Notamacropus eugenii: one gene and its partner. The protein of the gene in region 2 purifies or fractionates together with the protein of the main gene of each other region. This does not show direct contact. Links are inferred from orthologs where the notes say so. Each region holds a gene or a part of one and is shown on either strand. Other genes may lie near its edges.

Region 1 (7,505 bases), about 170 Mb from region 2:
AACTGAATAACTGCTGTTCTAGATGAGCAAACCTGATCAAATCAGGTACTACATGTAAAGCACTTTGCAAACTTCATAGTGCTATATAAATGTTAGCCATTATTATTCACCAGAAATACTACCTATTTCTGTGAATAGCTGGAACTGCGAAAATGGAAGGGGGAGAGGCCTACCTTCAGATGGATGCTCAAAGCCACAGTCCACAATAGCCCTCAGAAGCTCTGGCTTCAGAAGGAAATCCCTGAAGCCCGAGCTATGAATGGAGACATAGGAGCCCTTCACATCCTTCTTGGCAGGCGTAGGTGTGCTCTCTGTCATGGGCTGGGGCTCCTCATCCTCTTCATAATCAAGCAGTTCATTCTCCACATCTTGTTCAGCCATTCTGCCCTGAGGAGAAAAGAAAGATGTAGCTGGTTCATCACAGATGGCAGGAAGAAGGGCAGTACCTGCTTTTCCAGGCCACTGACAGAGAGAGGACAGGGGTCAACCAAGTGCTAAGTACAAAAAGACAAAAACACAGATCCCCCTCAATCCCTGGACACATCAAGAGTCCAAAAGTCCTTTTGCACTGTCTGTACTAGAGATTCTAACTCCTCAAATCAAAGCTGGAAGCCAGCAAGCACCATGAATCTTGCCCTCCTCATGGCCATTTCTGCCTAGCAAACTATCTTATCAGACAACCAACATATTTGAATACTTGTGTTCAATACCCATCTGCAGTAGGCACGGAGTGGAATAAGTACCAGGGAGACTCAGCAGTGGAAAACTCACAAGCCAGTTAAGACAAGACCACACATTCTAGAGGCATAAGGTAAAAAATAAAGTTCACTACTAGGGATGGGCAGATTGCTGCTATAGAGCCCCAACTTAAAACTGCTCTTTCTCCCTCTATTTGGGGCTCATACTACACCACCCTTAGTTAGAATGCTTTTATTAAAAAGCCTCCTGCCAAGATGTAGATCTATACCAGCATACAGATCATAATACCTACTTCTATCACCTAAGCTTCTTAATTAGGTTAATATAGCCTGAAAAGAAGAATCCGATTAAAAGGCAGTACTTATTTTAATCCATGCGTTAAAATGTATTTATGACAAAACCTTGTAGTTAAAAGAAAATTTAAGCCAAATATTCTCTGCCACAGAACTTGGGAACTTCAAATCCACAAACATAGAGGAAGACAAAGACAGGATGAATCAGGTGCCTTCTTTCCTTGGACTCCAAAACACCGTCTTTTTGCTTGATTAAAACATCCAACAAAACTTTTAGCAATGCTTTCCCATCCAATACCAAAAAAATCTACTGTTAACCATCTACATGTTAACCATCTTTGGGACCCCCAAAATAAAGCTTAAAAATGTTCTTCCTGTCACCAAGAACATTTATGATATCACGTCTTCTCTCTCCTGATATTCAGTCTCAAGTTATTTAAAAGTTTGTGTGCCTCAGAATACTAGCTACAGATTGCTGGCTCTCACCCTTAAGAAGCTCACACCTGGAACCAGGTGCTCAGGTAAAGAATTAATAATTTATGAGCACCTAATGAATATGTAATTTAAGCTAGCAATTATAACTTTAAACAAAAACAGGAAAAATTTAGAAAAGTCAGTAAGCACACAGGCCTTTCCACTCTCTTTCCAACCTGTATTAACCTGTGTAGCTGTCCCATAAAGGCCATGGAATTCATGGACACACCGAGTTTTTCTTAACTTTTAATTTCTAGTTCCACATTCTTTCCCTCTCTCCATCCCTTCTGAATTCCTAAGAATACGCTAAAAAATATTTTTTCATGTTCATTTACAAAAGCCTCTGTACAAGTTTACTAGACTGAGTCTACTCCAGAAAAGACTGTTAAAATCCATCCTTTTCAGTGAACTTGTCACTACCTTGAAAAGATTTCCTTTAAACTGTCACCCACCAAAATATTTCCTGTAGCAGCGTGGAAGCAAAAGACTCCAAACCTAGGCCAGCGGGGCGAAAAATCTGACAAGTTATGGAGAAAATACTTAGGAGAGTCTCGGACGCTGGCAACCGCCTAAGTCCAAAGAGCGGATTTATGGGCCAGGGTGGTCCTGGAGGGGCGGATTTTTTCAGTCGGAACTGACTACGCCTTCTGTGAGAAGTGGGGTGCCTGTGGCAGTGGTGAGGGCACCCACATTCAGGAAATCCTGTATGCCTAAACTAATTAGGGAGAGAGAGGAGTGGGGACCGTGGGAGCGAGGGCGCAGTCAGAGGACAGACACGTCCCGGGAGGCTCCGCCAAAGCTTGTGCAGGAGGGGGATCCCCACCAAAGCACAAATTTGAGGGGTTCCCTCTCGGGGACATTCTCGTAAAGTACAAATACGGGAGACTCCCTCCAGGGCACACGGGTGTCCCCTGCGTGGACAGGCGTGGGCGGCGGGCTCCCGATGACCCTCAGACAAATGCTCTGGGGCCCCCCGGCTTGGATCTCGGGGTGCAGACCACAGCTGCGGGGGCAGTCTCCCACGTATTTCATGAGCGAAGGGCGTCCCCGCCGCCGGGCTCCCCAGGCCTCCCGCCCCACGCGGGCCGCGCGCCTTCCGCAGCCCGGCGCCCCAACGGTCGGGCGGCCCGGAGGTGGCATGCGCGCGCCACCTGCCCCGGCCGCGGCTCCGCCCCCGCCCTTGCCCGGCCCGCGGCAGCGCGCGATGAGCTTCCCTGTCCTCCCCGGGGCCTGCGCCATCTCAGCCTCGCCGCGTGCCTGCCGCTTCAGCGTCAACTCCGCAGGCCTTTCCCGGCCCGTCATCTCCAGCGCGCCCAGGACCTCGCGGCCTGCGGCCCCCTCCTCCGCCCCTTACCTCTGAGCTGAGCGCTTGCCTCCGGCTGCCTACACGCGCTCCCAAAGCCAAGAGTTAACTCAGGAGAGGTGTCGCGTTCGAGTGGAAACCGCCTCCCCTACTTCCTTCTCTTCCTGCTAAAATTGGCGCACCACCTCCAAACTTCCCGGCTAACTTGCCTTGTTCACTGGGCTGTCAGCCTTTCACTCAGAAGGGAGCAAGCTCTGATTGGTTGATTGGTCTCGGCCGCGCAACCTATAGAGGGAGAGGGGACGGTCCCAATGTTTCATTGGGCAAAGTCTGCGTCGATCCCGGCGAAAGTCCTTCTGAGTGGTTTAATTAATTCCAAGGGGCCGTCTCGAGATGGGACCATATGACCAGGCCTGGCGAATACCTAGGTGCTACCATACTTACTAATGGCAAGATCATCTAGTGAAGCCAGCCTAGAGCGTTGTGCATTGTGGGTAAAAGGCCGGAACTCCTGTGGATCGCCCTCCTGTGGAGCTCTACTGTCTTCCAGTGCTTCTTAGGGTGTGATAGGGAAGTCAGGCTCCCCAGGTTCCAATCCCAGCCTATCCATAACTACCAATTGTAACTAACAATTCTGGCACCGAGGTCAAGCCCCACAAAACACGCCCAGGTGCTCCCCGGTCAAATTTTGAAAATAAATTCGGCTATTGAGGTGGGGGAGAGGAGTCCTCAGCACCTAAGGCGGGGGAAAATGCAGGAGGGGTCGGGGAGAAGGACCTAAGAGACTCTGTAGACGGGTCAGAGATTCTGGAAAAGCCAGGCGAGGCCAGAGAGGGTGTCCAGGGAGTCCAGGAAGAGCTCCCTAGGATGTTAGCTTATTTTACCTAATTATTCCTGCTATTTAGGCGCTAAGCCAGGTTCTTTCTACCTGGTCCAGGTGCTCTACGATCCGACAACACTTGAAATGAAGCTCTCTCGCTACCCCGTTCCTTTTCCAAATCCATGCCTTCTCACTGTCTTTCTCTTATACCTGAAATGCAATCCCTCTGGTTTCTTTCTGAAATCCCACCACATCCAAGGGATATTTCACAGTATTTCACCCCTCCCTTTGAGTTCATTCCCTGTCATCTATTATGGCTATATCTGGTATTCCTCTCCTAGATCACTGCTGTATTGTGGTAGGTGACTTTGGAAGGTCAGGGAAACTGAGCTATGCCATGCAGGGTTACCCAAGACGGACTGGTCATAGTGAAGAGTTCTGACCAAAGCTCAGTTCTCCAATTCTCACTGGAGAAGGAAATGGCAAGCCACGCCATTAACTCCATAGACTATATTAAAAAGGATAAAGGATATCACACGGGAAGATGAGCCCTTCCGGTGGGCAGCCAACAGTTACTGAGAGAGCCCAGGACAACTACAAGTAGATGCAGTAACTAATGAAGCCATTGGGCCAAAGCCAAAAGGAAGCTCAGTTGCAGATGTGTCTGATGACGAGAGGGAAGTCCAGTGCTATAAAAATCATTATTACATAGAAACCTGGAATGTAAGATCTATGAACTAAAGTAAGCCAGATGTGGTCACACAGAACATGAAAAGATCAAACATCGACCCATTGGGTAAAAGGGGGATGGCAGAGGATGCAATAGATGGTGTCATGGAGGTAATGAACTTGAGTTTGGACAGACTTCAGGAGGTAGACTTCAGGGGTGCTATGGTCCATGGAGTAACAAAGAATCAGATGTGACTGAACAGCACAACAGATATCTTGTATTTACATCATTACTTGTATGTTGTCTTCTCCACTGGAACAAGAACTGCATGAGGGCAAGGATTGAGTTTTTAACCTTTCTTTGTATGCCTTGTGCTTCATAAACACTTAATAAATGCTTATACACTGACTTGGAGCTCTGGAAAAGGGGGACAATTACAATGAGCTCTCCCTAAGTTTCTGAGTCTAAGGACAATGCCGCAAGCAGCTTACTCTGGTTCATTCTAGGTGTAAGGGGTAGCCAGGAGATGGATCATCCTATCTATGGAATAGCAAATAGGTCAGGTCAACTAGATGGCAAAATGCATAGCAGGGAATAATGTGTAAAATGGCTGGAAAGGCAAAAAGAGGCCAAGGTGTGAGGCTCTTGAAAAGTGAAATATAGGAATTTATATTCACTGTAGGTACTAGAGTTTAATGGGGGTGGGAGGGATATAACATGATCAACCAAAAGACTCCATTCACTCCTTCATCAGTCCCCGCTTCAAAGGAACTCACTCAATACATTATGTATTAGATGCCTGCTGTATATTCACACTTATAACCAAAGGTTTGCCAGTGGAAAAGAATTCTTTCAGCTACAGCAAATCAAGAAAAATGTGGAAGGATTAGCATATTTTGTATTTATATCACAATTATGTCCCTGCTAGAAATGAGAGGAGGAAGGGGATAAGCATTTCTATAGCACCTACTATGTTCCTTCCAGACACTGTGCTAAAAATATTACATCATTTGATCCTTACAACAACCCTGCTGGTCAGGTGCTGTTATTATCACTATTTGAAGAAACTGAGGCAGACAAAAGTTAAGTGACTTTCCCAGGATCACACAGCCAGACCTAATGCTCTAGCCACTGCATCACCTATATGCCTCAGGGACATTATGAAAGGATTCTTGCTCAGAGATAGGTTGGGTTAGGTGATTGCTAAGGTCCTTTCCAACTCTGATACTCTGTTGTTTACTGAACACCAGCTATGGCAAAGAAAGGTCTGTGTTTGAGAAAAAGCATCACTGCTCTTTGGGAACTTGTCTTACTGGAAAAATGTCACCTATGGTGACAGAACTGGTATGTGGTAGCCGAGCTCCTCTGACTTCAGATCTGGCTAAGGCTGTGTCACATTGACATTTAACTCAATCCTACTGAAAAAGCAAAGATTAAATACTACCTGTACTTATTAGAGAGTCATCATGGTATAGTGGGAAGAGTGCTGGGCTTAGAGTCAGCTCAAATCTGAGTTCAAATCTGACCTTAGACCCTGGTCAAGTCACTTAACTTCCATTTGTTTCAGTTTTACACAACTTTAAAATGGGGATAATAATGGCCCTTACCTCCCAAGGTGATTATGATAATTATAAAGTACTTAACACAGTGCTTGGTACATAGTAAGCACCATATAAGTATTAGCTAGTAGTAATAATAGTAGTAGTAGTAGTAGTAGTAGTGGTAATAGTGGTAATAGAGAGCTGACCTTGAAATCAGAAAGTCCTGGCTGTGACCTAAACTGGTTGAATGACTTTGAGTGAGTCTTTTAAATTTGTCAAGGCTCCAGGTAACTCTCTGTGATGATAAGTCTCAGAGAAGGTACTGACCTAAATTGGTTAGGAAGAGTTTCCTTACCTGGGAGTTCCCTAAACCAATGAAATCACAGGTCTAGTCTTTATTCCTATGTTGGGTTTTTTTTTTTAAGAGAGCCAGCCTTGTCCAGTAGATGGAGAGCCACCAGCCTTGGAGTCAAGAATAGTTAGTTAGTGTTTATATAGCACTTTAAGGCTTGTAAAGCCCTTAATATACATATATATGTGTGTATGTATGTGTGTACGTGTATGTATGTATGTACATGTATACATATAATATAAAAAATTTCATTTGATCTTCATGGTGACTCTATGAAGTAAGTACTATCATTATCCTCATCTTACAAATAAGGAAAACTTGAGCCTGAAGATATTAAGTGACTTGCTCAAGGTCTTCCATCTAGTAAATGTCTTGGGCAGGATTTGAACTCAGACCTTCCTAACTCCCAGTTCGGTTCTTTAAAGAAGAGCTAGGTTTGAATTCTGCCTCTTACACATACTAGTTGTCTGACTTATAGGGCCCTGGACAGCTCTCTCAGATTGTAAGTTATAGATTGTTGCTTATCTGTATTGACCAGGTATTCCTTTCTGGGGTAGAGAGCCTTTGACCTTGAAACCCCATGTGGCCTTCTAGATCCTTGAGTTGTGACCTTTTGACTGAGTCCAAGTTTTACAGAACAAATTCTTTTATTAAGGGGATTTGTTCTGTGAAATTTGGATTCAGTCAAAAGGCTGCACTCAAGGACCTAGAGGGTCCCATATGGCCTTGAGGCTCCAGGTTCCCCACCCCTTTGAGACCGGGTGTAGTCACATCAATGAAAACCTCACAGGTCTGTCCAGAAAAGCACTTCTGTATGCTACAAGGCACTGTTATCAGTATAAGGACTGCAAAGACTAAGTAAAGGCATGTTCTTGGTCTTAGGTGTCATTCCAGTCTAATACGATTACAGTATATTAGCAAATTAGTATAACAGGAAATCTAAACATGTGTGGGACAAAGAAGTAATTCAAAGTTCTTTTAAAAATTTTTTTTGATTTATTTTGTTAAATATTTTATCCCGATTACATGTAAAGACAATTTTTTTGCATTTTTTAATATTATTTTTGGTGATTTTTACAATTTTAAACTTAAGTACAAAATAAGAAAAGAAACAAATTTAAATACAAAATAAGAAAAAAATTGACGTGCACAGCAGAATGTATGAAAGGATTCAAAATATAAAGCAATTAATTTCCATTTCAATAAAACCTATATAATATAAATAGTACACATTTTGTTTAGAGCTGTCCATCTTTACTTCCTTGCAAGTTTTATTTTGTTTTCTGCAATGTACTTTTTGTTTTGTTCTTTTTTCCCCTTCCTCCTTCCCAAGAAGGTTACAATTAAGCAAAG
Region 2 (7,207 bases):
ATGACCTACCTTTTTAGTTCAGTCATGCAAACAGGTCTGAAGTCACCTAAATACTTTATCATCTGGCCTATACGTCTCCATCTTATCCACCAGGAGAGTATGAGAAACTGTCAAATACATTGCTAAAATCTAAATAAATTACATTTAAACATTCCCTGAATTTTCCAGGCTAATTACCTGTCTAAAAAGGAAATGAGGCTAAAATGGCATGCCCTGTTCTTGCTGAAGCTACACTCACTCTTTGTGAACATTACTTTCTTTTTCAGGCGTTCACTAACCATCTTTATAATAATATATGTCTAGAATTTTGCCAGGAGTCAAGGTCAAACAATGGCCTATAGTTTGCAGCTTCCTTCATCCCTTTCTTGAAAGGGTATTTGCCCTTCTCCATTTCTGTAGCATCTCTTCTATTCTCCAAGATCGGTTTTAAAGTGGGTTTTATTGATTTTTATACATCACAGTCATTCCTGAATGATTAACTCTCTTTCCCTTCCACTGAACCCTTCCCTATAACAAACAATTAAGCAAAAACAAATGAAAGTCACCATGGCTGACAGCGTATAACATTCTGTACCAAGATGCTCTCTATCTCTTTACTTCTCTTTGTTTTCAGCTCTCTAGGAGCCATTTTTGTTTTGTCCTTTCCAATCCACACACCATTCTCCTTGACAAAGAAAACAAAAGCAAATTAAATGTTGGATAGCCCTTATTCCTCTGTCATCATCACCATCATTCTATCTCTTCTTAATAGTAATACTGCCATGGGAGGATACAACAGACCACCTAAACAGAAGGAGCAAGTAAATGAGTTTGGGAAATAGGTCAAAGCTGGGTATTGACACATAATACAGTAGTGATGACAGACTTCAATTATCAGTTCATCTTCCAGCTGTCTCTCTTGATGTCCAAAAGAAAAAAAGTTAATAAATTACTGACCAATCAAAATGTAGAAGCAACAAGGTACTGGACTTGAATCTAACCAACAAGGAGTTTGCTGAAACAGAAATGAGGGCAACTTTGTAGGTGGATATCCCTGCATCTCAGAATTTCTCCTAAGGAAACAGAAAGCTTATCATAATTTCATATGAACCTTAGATTTTGAGAAGCCAAACTTCAGAATTCAGAAAGTGAATGCCCTTACCTAAAATTCTATGGAGAAAGCTCAGAAGGGATTTAAAAACAAAATGCTGAAGACACAAAGAGAAAAGATTGCAATGAAGAGAGAAAAGAATTGTCTAAAAAGCCTGTGTGGATTCACAGGAAAATAACCAATCAACCAAAATAATTGATTATATAAAATAATGACCTAGTCCCATAAGAATAAGATTAAAATACAGAATGAGTTATACTGTACATGTAAGTATATAAATAACATGCTAAGGACTACAAAATGGGTTTTTAAAAAATTATGTTGAGAAAAAGAGGAGGCTCGAATAAGGGAAAGGATCATTGGTTAGGGTAGATAAGATGATGTCACAAAATCACAGAATTTGAGAGCTGGGACATGTAGTCCACTTGACAGCAGAAAATATGTCCTACAAAATGATCAGTCAGCCTCTGCTTGAAGACCTCTAAAGGAGATACACACCAGGTCTAGACAGTGAATATGATTAAGTGGTTCCTCTTAGAAGAACTACAAATGACTAGGGGATCGATTTTAAATAGTAACTTGGAAAAAAGAACGCATGGAAAATAACACCAATGTCATATCTACTATTTCCCCCCTCCCCCAAATCATTTTGCAAAGAAAACATCAGCATGTAAGGAAATTTATACAGTGACAGCATAAAGGATCAGTTTTTTTCTTTAGAGCTCCTACTTCTGCACCAATTTACATGACCATGTAATTAAGTATGTTAATTACTCAATCAAATCTTGTACAACAGGTATGAGTCATCTAACAGCATTAAACGAAGAAAATAGCTAAATAAGCAGTGGGATGGTGGGGGGAATCGCCCTAGTTTAGGTAGGTATAAGATCTGGGTTTGAGATCCTGATCCACCAGAGGGGACAATGAAGAAGTCGCTGAACCGACACCTCAGTGTCCTCACCTGCAAAGATACCTGTGGATCTTCCTCGGTGGAGGGAGTGTCCAGTAAAAAGAAAATTTGACATAATTGTACATACACAGGCGCCAAGTCCCGGGGGTGGGGGTGGGGGGTGGAGGGGGTGTGAGTGTGAAGCGCTGTCACGACGGAGCTAGGCGGAACACCTGCAGGTTTTTCCCAGCGGGCCCTCTCCACACCCACTCTCAGTCCACGAGGAGATCTCCCCCAGCACTTCCCCCGCGTCGTGCTGCAGCCTCTGCCCACTTCACACGTTATTTTGTGTCATGACCTGTCATGTCCCATCTACCCCCCGGCACCCAGCAGGGTGCCTCAGGACACAGCAGACGCTTCACACTTTTGGAAGTCGGAATTTACCCTTGATTTTAGCCAAAAGCGAAAGGAAGGCAAACGAACCGCCGAGCTCACGATCGACGCTGGCGCGGGGCGGACGCGAGCTGTGGGGTTCTCAGACGCAGCACGTTTAAGTGACAGCCCCCCACCCCAGCCCTCAACTGTCTTCCCTCCTCAGGCACAGGCTGACCACCCACCCGCCCCCGGCGCCAGCGCTTTCCCGCCTCTACCCTCAATGGGGAGGCGGCGGAGGAGCTCTGCGTGGGGAACCAGGTGTGGCGAGAGTCGCGAGGGACACGCGGGGAGTGGGAATGCTGCCGCGGTTGGGGAGGCAGAGACGCGCGCGCTGAAGGGCCAGGTAGCCTGCCCCTCCCCCCAAAAAACCAGTAGAGAACGCCGCTGTGTACACACGTCCCCTGCTCTGGGTTCCTCCCCGTGGGAGAGCCGGTGTACCACGGAGAAGGCAGAGGAGAGAAAGGGGAAAAAGTGGTTTTCGGCCACCCCCTCCGCTTCCTACATCTCACCGTAAACCGAGTCTGTGCTTCGGGGAAACTGAAGAGAGGCGGCGACGGAGACATCTTCTCGCTTGCGCGTGCCCGCTAACGCGCCGTGGCGCCCCCTGATGACGCAGGGTCCCAGGCACACAGCGAGCTCCTTTGCGCGGCTAGAGCGGCACCGGGCGGTTGTGTGGGACGCATGCGCCGTCGGCGGAGGGGGCGGAGCTCTGGCGGAGGGGCCGGTATCGCTGCGCCGGCCGCAGAAGGAAGGAGGTGTTTCCGTGTTCTGCCAGCGGTGGTGGCGCGAGGGCTGTGCTCGCCCCGGAACACCTGGTGGTTGTGCGGATCCTGTCCGTTGGTATCGAGCGGGATTCGGAGAAAAGGTGTCTCCCTCTCGCGTTAGCACCTCAGTGATCCCTGTGGCGCGAGGCCCGCCCCCTTCCTCTCCAGAGCCCCGTTCGCCGCCGGAGAGCTCGGACGCGGTCCGGGCCGGAGCAAAAGTGGGCGAATCCCCCCTCCGGCCCACCCTTGTCGCGCTTCCTGAAGGGGCGACCCTGCTGCTCCCCTCTTGTCCCCGCTGCCCCTTTGTCCGTTGAGCTCGCCGTCCACCCTGAGGCCTCCCTAGGGCATAGAAGTGACCCGACCCGGGCTCTCGAAGTCGTCCCTAAAGCCCGTCCCCCGGGGGGCGCTAACAAGCCGGGAAAGCTTGGATTCGAATGAAGCCCCCAGCCTGCCTCTCCTTGGAGGGCCTCGTCACCGGAGGGACCCCCGAGAGATGGAGTTGGGGTCGTAGCTACTGCCGGTCCGCCAAGGCGTAGCTTGGGTGCAGTGCCAGCACCGGGGAGATCGTAGGTCCGGGGAGCTGTTGCTGGGCCGTTTGGCGCTTGGGGTGGGGGTGGGGGGTACGTTGGTCCTCTTTTTTCCTTGAATTCTCTCTTTCCTGTTGCTTCAGGAGACCAAGGGTGAGCGGGTTTGGAGTCAACAGGAAAAAGGACAGGGGGGTATTTTGTTTGCAGTCATCCGACAAGTCTGTGGTGACCAGATGTTTCTATTTCAGTGATTTAAAAAAAAAATTTGATGTGTTTTTATGTCTTAGTTACTTCCCAGTAAGCGGCTCTCCTTCCACCTCACCCTGTGGTGCCATCATTCCCTTAAAAAAAGTTAAGCAAAGAGCAAAACCATCTAATGTAACAGCCTGACCTAAAGCACATTTAAATGCTCATTCTGGCAAATGAATTGCTGGAAGGATTTACAAAAGAGGTTACAGGTGCCATAGCAGAGTTATGAAGATAAGAATTGAGGAGGGTGTGGATTCTTTCCATATTTTGCAGCATTTTTTTGAAGTCTTTTAAGTTGTTCATCTTAATTTGGTGTATGATGTCTAGTGTCCTATTTTTTCCTATCAGTCTTTGAAACAGCAGTTTATTTTTTCTTTAAAAATTTGCTGAACTGCTCTTTTAATTTTTCTTCCAAAACATTTTAGCCTAGCCTCCCATGGCTCCCCCTCCCCCACTATCAGCTGAGAATCTGGCCTCATATTTTCTAGGGGACAAAAAATTGAAGACATTTGCTGCCTTCTCTCTCTTCTGTGCTCTGCTTCTTCACCCCTGTCTCACATAATGAAGGAGCCTTACTAAAGGACTTACCAAAGGCAACACTTTAGTTGTTCAAGGGATCCCATTCCATTGTCTCCAACAGATTAATGTGCCCCCTCTGTCATCTCCACTCATATTTATTTTCAATCTCTCCTCTACTGCCTCATTTTCTTCTGCCTACAAACATCTCTCTGTCTCCCCTATCTTGAAAAAACCCTCACTGCTAATTACCATCCTATATCTCTTCTATCCTTTGTGGCTAAATTCCTAGAAAAGGCCTCTACTTTCACTTCTCTCTCTTCTTAACCCCTTACAATCTGGCATCTGATCTTATCATTACACTGAGACTACTCTTTCCAAAGTTACTAATCTCTTTATTTGACAAATCCAATGGCCTTTTGTCCATCTGCATTCTCTGTGACCTCTCTGCAGCCTTTGACATAGTTGATCACTCCTCATTGATACTGTTTTCTCTCTAGGTTTCCAGGACACTACCTATCTGGATCATCCTTCAGATCATGCCCTCTAATTGTGGAGATCCTTTAGAGTTCTGTCCTGGGCCCTCTTTTTTCTTTATATTACTTCGCTTGGTGATCTCATCAGCTCCCATGGGTTTAGTTATCTCATTGCTGATTCTCCAGTCTCCCATCACCAGCTGCCTTTCAGACATCTTAAACCAGATGTCCAGTAGACATCTTAAACTCAGTATGTCCAAGACAAATCTCATTGATCCTCTGCTACCTCCTACCTTCCATATTCTTGTGCAGGCTAACAACATTGTCCCAATCCCTCTGGCTTTGCAACCTAGGAGTCATCTTGTAGTCCTGTCACTCATTTCATCTCTCCCCCCAACTCCCCCACTACACACACCATATCAAATCTGTTGCCAAAGCCTGTTGGTTTCACTTTTGGAACATCTCTCAAATATACCCTCTTCCTTCTTCTGACATTGTCACCACTAGTACAGGAGCTCATCATCTCACACCTTGATTATTACAATAGCCTGCTGGTAAGTTGGCCTGCCTCAAGTCTCTCCCCACTCCAATCCATCCTCTATTCAACTACTAAAGTGATTTTCTTAAAACACAGTTCTGATCATGTCACTCCTCTTCAATAAATTATTAGTGACTCCTTATTGCCTCCAAGAGCAAAAACAAAATGTTCGGTTTGGCATTCAAAGCCCTTCATAACCTATCCCCCTTCTCTCTTCTTATAACGTACTCTCCTGCATATATTCTTTGATCCAGCAACACTGGGCTCTTGGTTGTTCTGATGAACAAAATGCTCCGTTTTTGTGGCTACAGGCACTCTCTTTAGCTGTCCCTCATGCCTGAAATGCTCTCACTTCTCATGTCCACCCACTAACCTCCCTGACTTCTTTTTAAGTCTCACCTAAAATCCCATCTTCTCCAGGGACCCTTCTCCAACCACTCTTAATTCCAGTGCCTTCACTCTGTTAATTATTTCTTATTTATCTCATATATAGATTGCTTTGTATGTATCTGTTTGCATGTTGGCTTTCCCATTACACTGTAAGTTCTTTGAGGGCAGGGATTGTCTTTTGCCTTTTTTTAGTACCCTGCCAGGGCTTAGCTGGACACAGAGTTGTTGTTCATCCTTCATTTTCAAATAGGGCCAGTGACATCATTGGGTGATGAGTTGTTTGAGCAAGTTAGGTTAAAGTGAAGACAGAGTTGCACAAAGTCATCAGCCTCACTCTCTCTTCCAGAGTCATCTAAGTCAAGTGGCAAGACAGAAGTCAACACAACTGGCAACAGCTCAGGATACAGTGGCATGTGCAGTGCCTAACTAAACTCTCAGCCCTCCACAGCACCTGCTGTAACCATCTTCCTGTCCCTGTTGAGATAAATTATTCTCATCTACCCATTCACATGCTTGGAGTAGATGTCCTCCTAACTCACCAACAGGTGTGAAGCCTTTTGGTTACTCTCACCCTGGTTTTGTCCATCTGCTGAGACACTTTTACCAGGGTGTGGGCAGTGTACCGTGCTATAGCATTTTGGAGTCACAGTGAGAGCTGAGTCGCAGGTGGACCCCAAAGGTGGATAAGCAGCCCTGAAAAGGGCCCAGCAAGCCCTCACACTAGAGGTGCTAGTGGAAGAATAAACTCAATGCAAATTGATTGATAGATTGATTGTAAGGAGATCTCACTAAGTAGGAGAGTGGAGAGAAAATTAATATAAAAGCATCAGTTTTTTTAAAAGGCTAAAGAGTTTGGTTAAGAAGTAGCCCCTTGTCTTACATGGAGTTTTATTACTGTTAATGGTTAAATTCATAATAAAAATTGTTTTAGAAAAAATTGTCTCACATTAGGAAATTATATGATTTTGTTTCATTGCCTGAGGTACCTTAAGTATGATACAGCTTCTTTGTCTTTCCCATTACTTTCTCCTTTGAGAATTTGAATTCAGCTGTGTCTCAAATCCTGACAGCCACTCCCGATTTTCTGGCATTTGCTAAAGAATTGTAAATTTTATTGCAACCTCTTGTTCTAAATCTGTATTTGACCTTATGCTTTAGGTGTGTTTCCTGTAGGCAACGTACTGTAGGGTCATACTTTTAAAATCCTCTTTGTAGGGGAATTGAATTCAGTTACATTAAATATTATTATTGTTTGATTTTTAGTCAAACATATCCTATTATTTGTTTTATGTATTTCACTAGTGTTAATCTAATTCTAGCCTTTGCCCTCATG

What was found. The genes of interacting proteins can lie anywhere in the genome.
Region 1: the proteins of THOC1 (region 2) and DDX39A purify together in Homo sapiens (affinity purification with mass spectrometry; 3 studies listed by BioGRID and IntAct, with this or other methods). This does not show direct contact. The link is inferred for Notamacropus eugenii from reciprocal best matches to the Homo sapiens genes THOC1 and DDX39A.

Annotation. Positions count from the first base shown.
Region 1 is NC_092875.1:76,522,847-76,530,351, reverse strand, and holds the start of DDX39A (ATP-dependent RNA helicase DDX39A), read right to left. Parts: upstream 3,009-7,505; 5' UTR 2,821-3,008; intron 1,979-2,820; exon of another isoform or gene 1,887-1,978; intron 388-1,886; 5' UTR 382-387; coding exon 174-381; intron 1-173. UniProt on the Homo sapiens protein: Helicase that plays an essential role in mRNA export and is involved in multiple steps in RNA metabolism including alternative splicing. Regulates nuclear mRNA export to the cytoplasm through association with ECD.
Region 2 is NC_092875.1:244,524,540-244,531,746, reverse strand, and holds the start of THOC1 (THO complex subunit 1), read right to left. Parts: upstream 3,022-7,207; 5' UTR 2,978-3,021; coding exon 2,924-2,977; intron 1-2,923. UniProt on the Homo sapiens protein: Component of the THO subcomplex of the TREX complex which is thought to couple mRNA transcription, processing and nuclear export, and which specifically associates with spliced mRNA and not with unspliced pre-mRNA.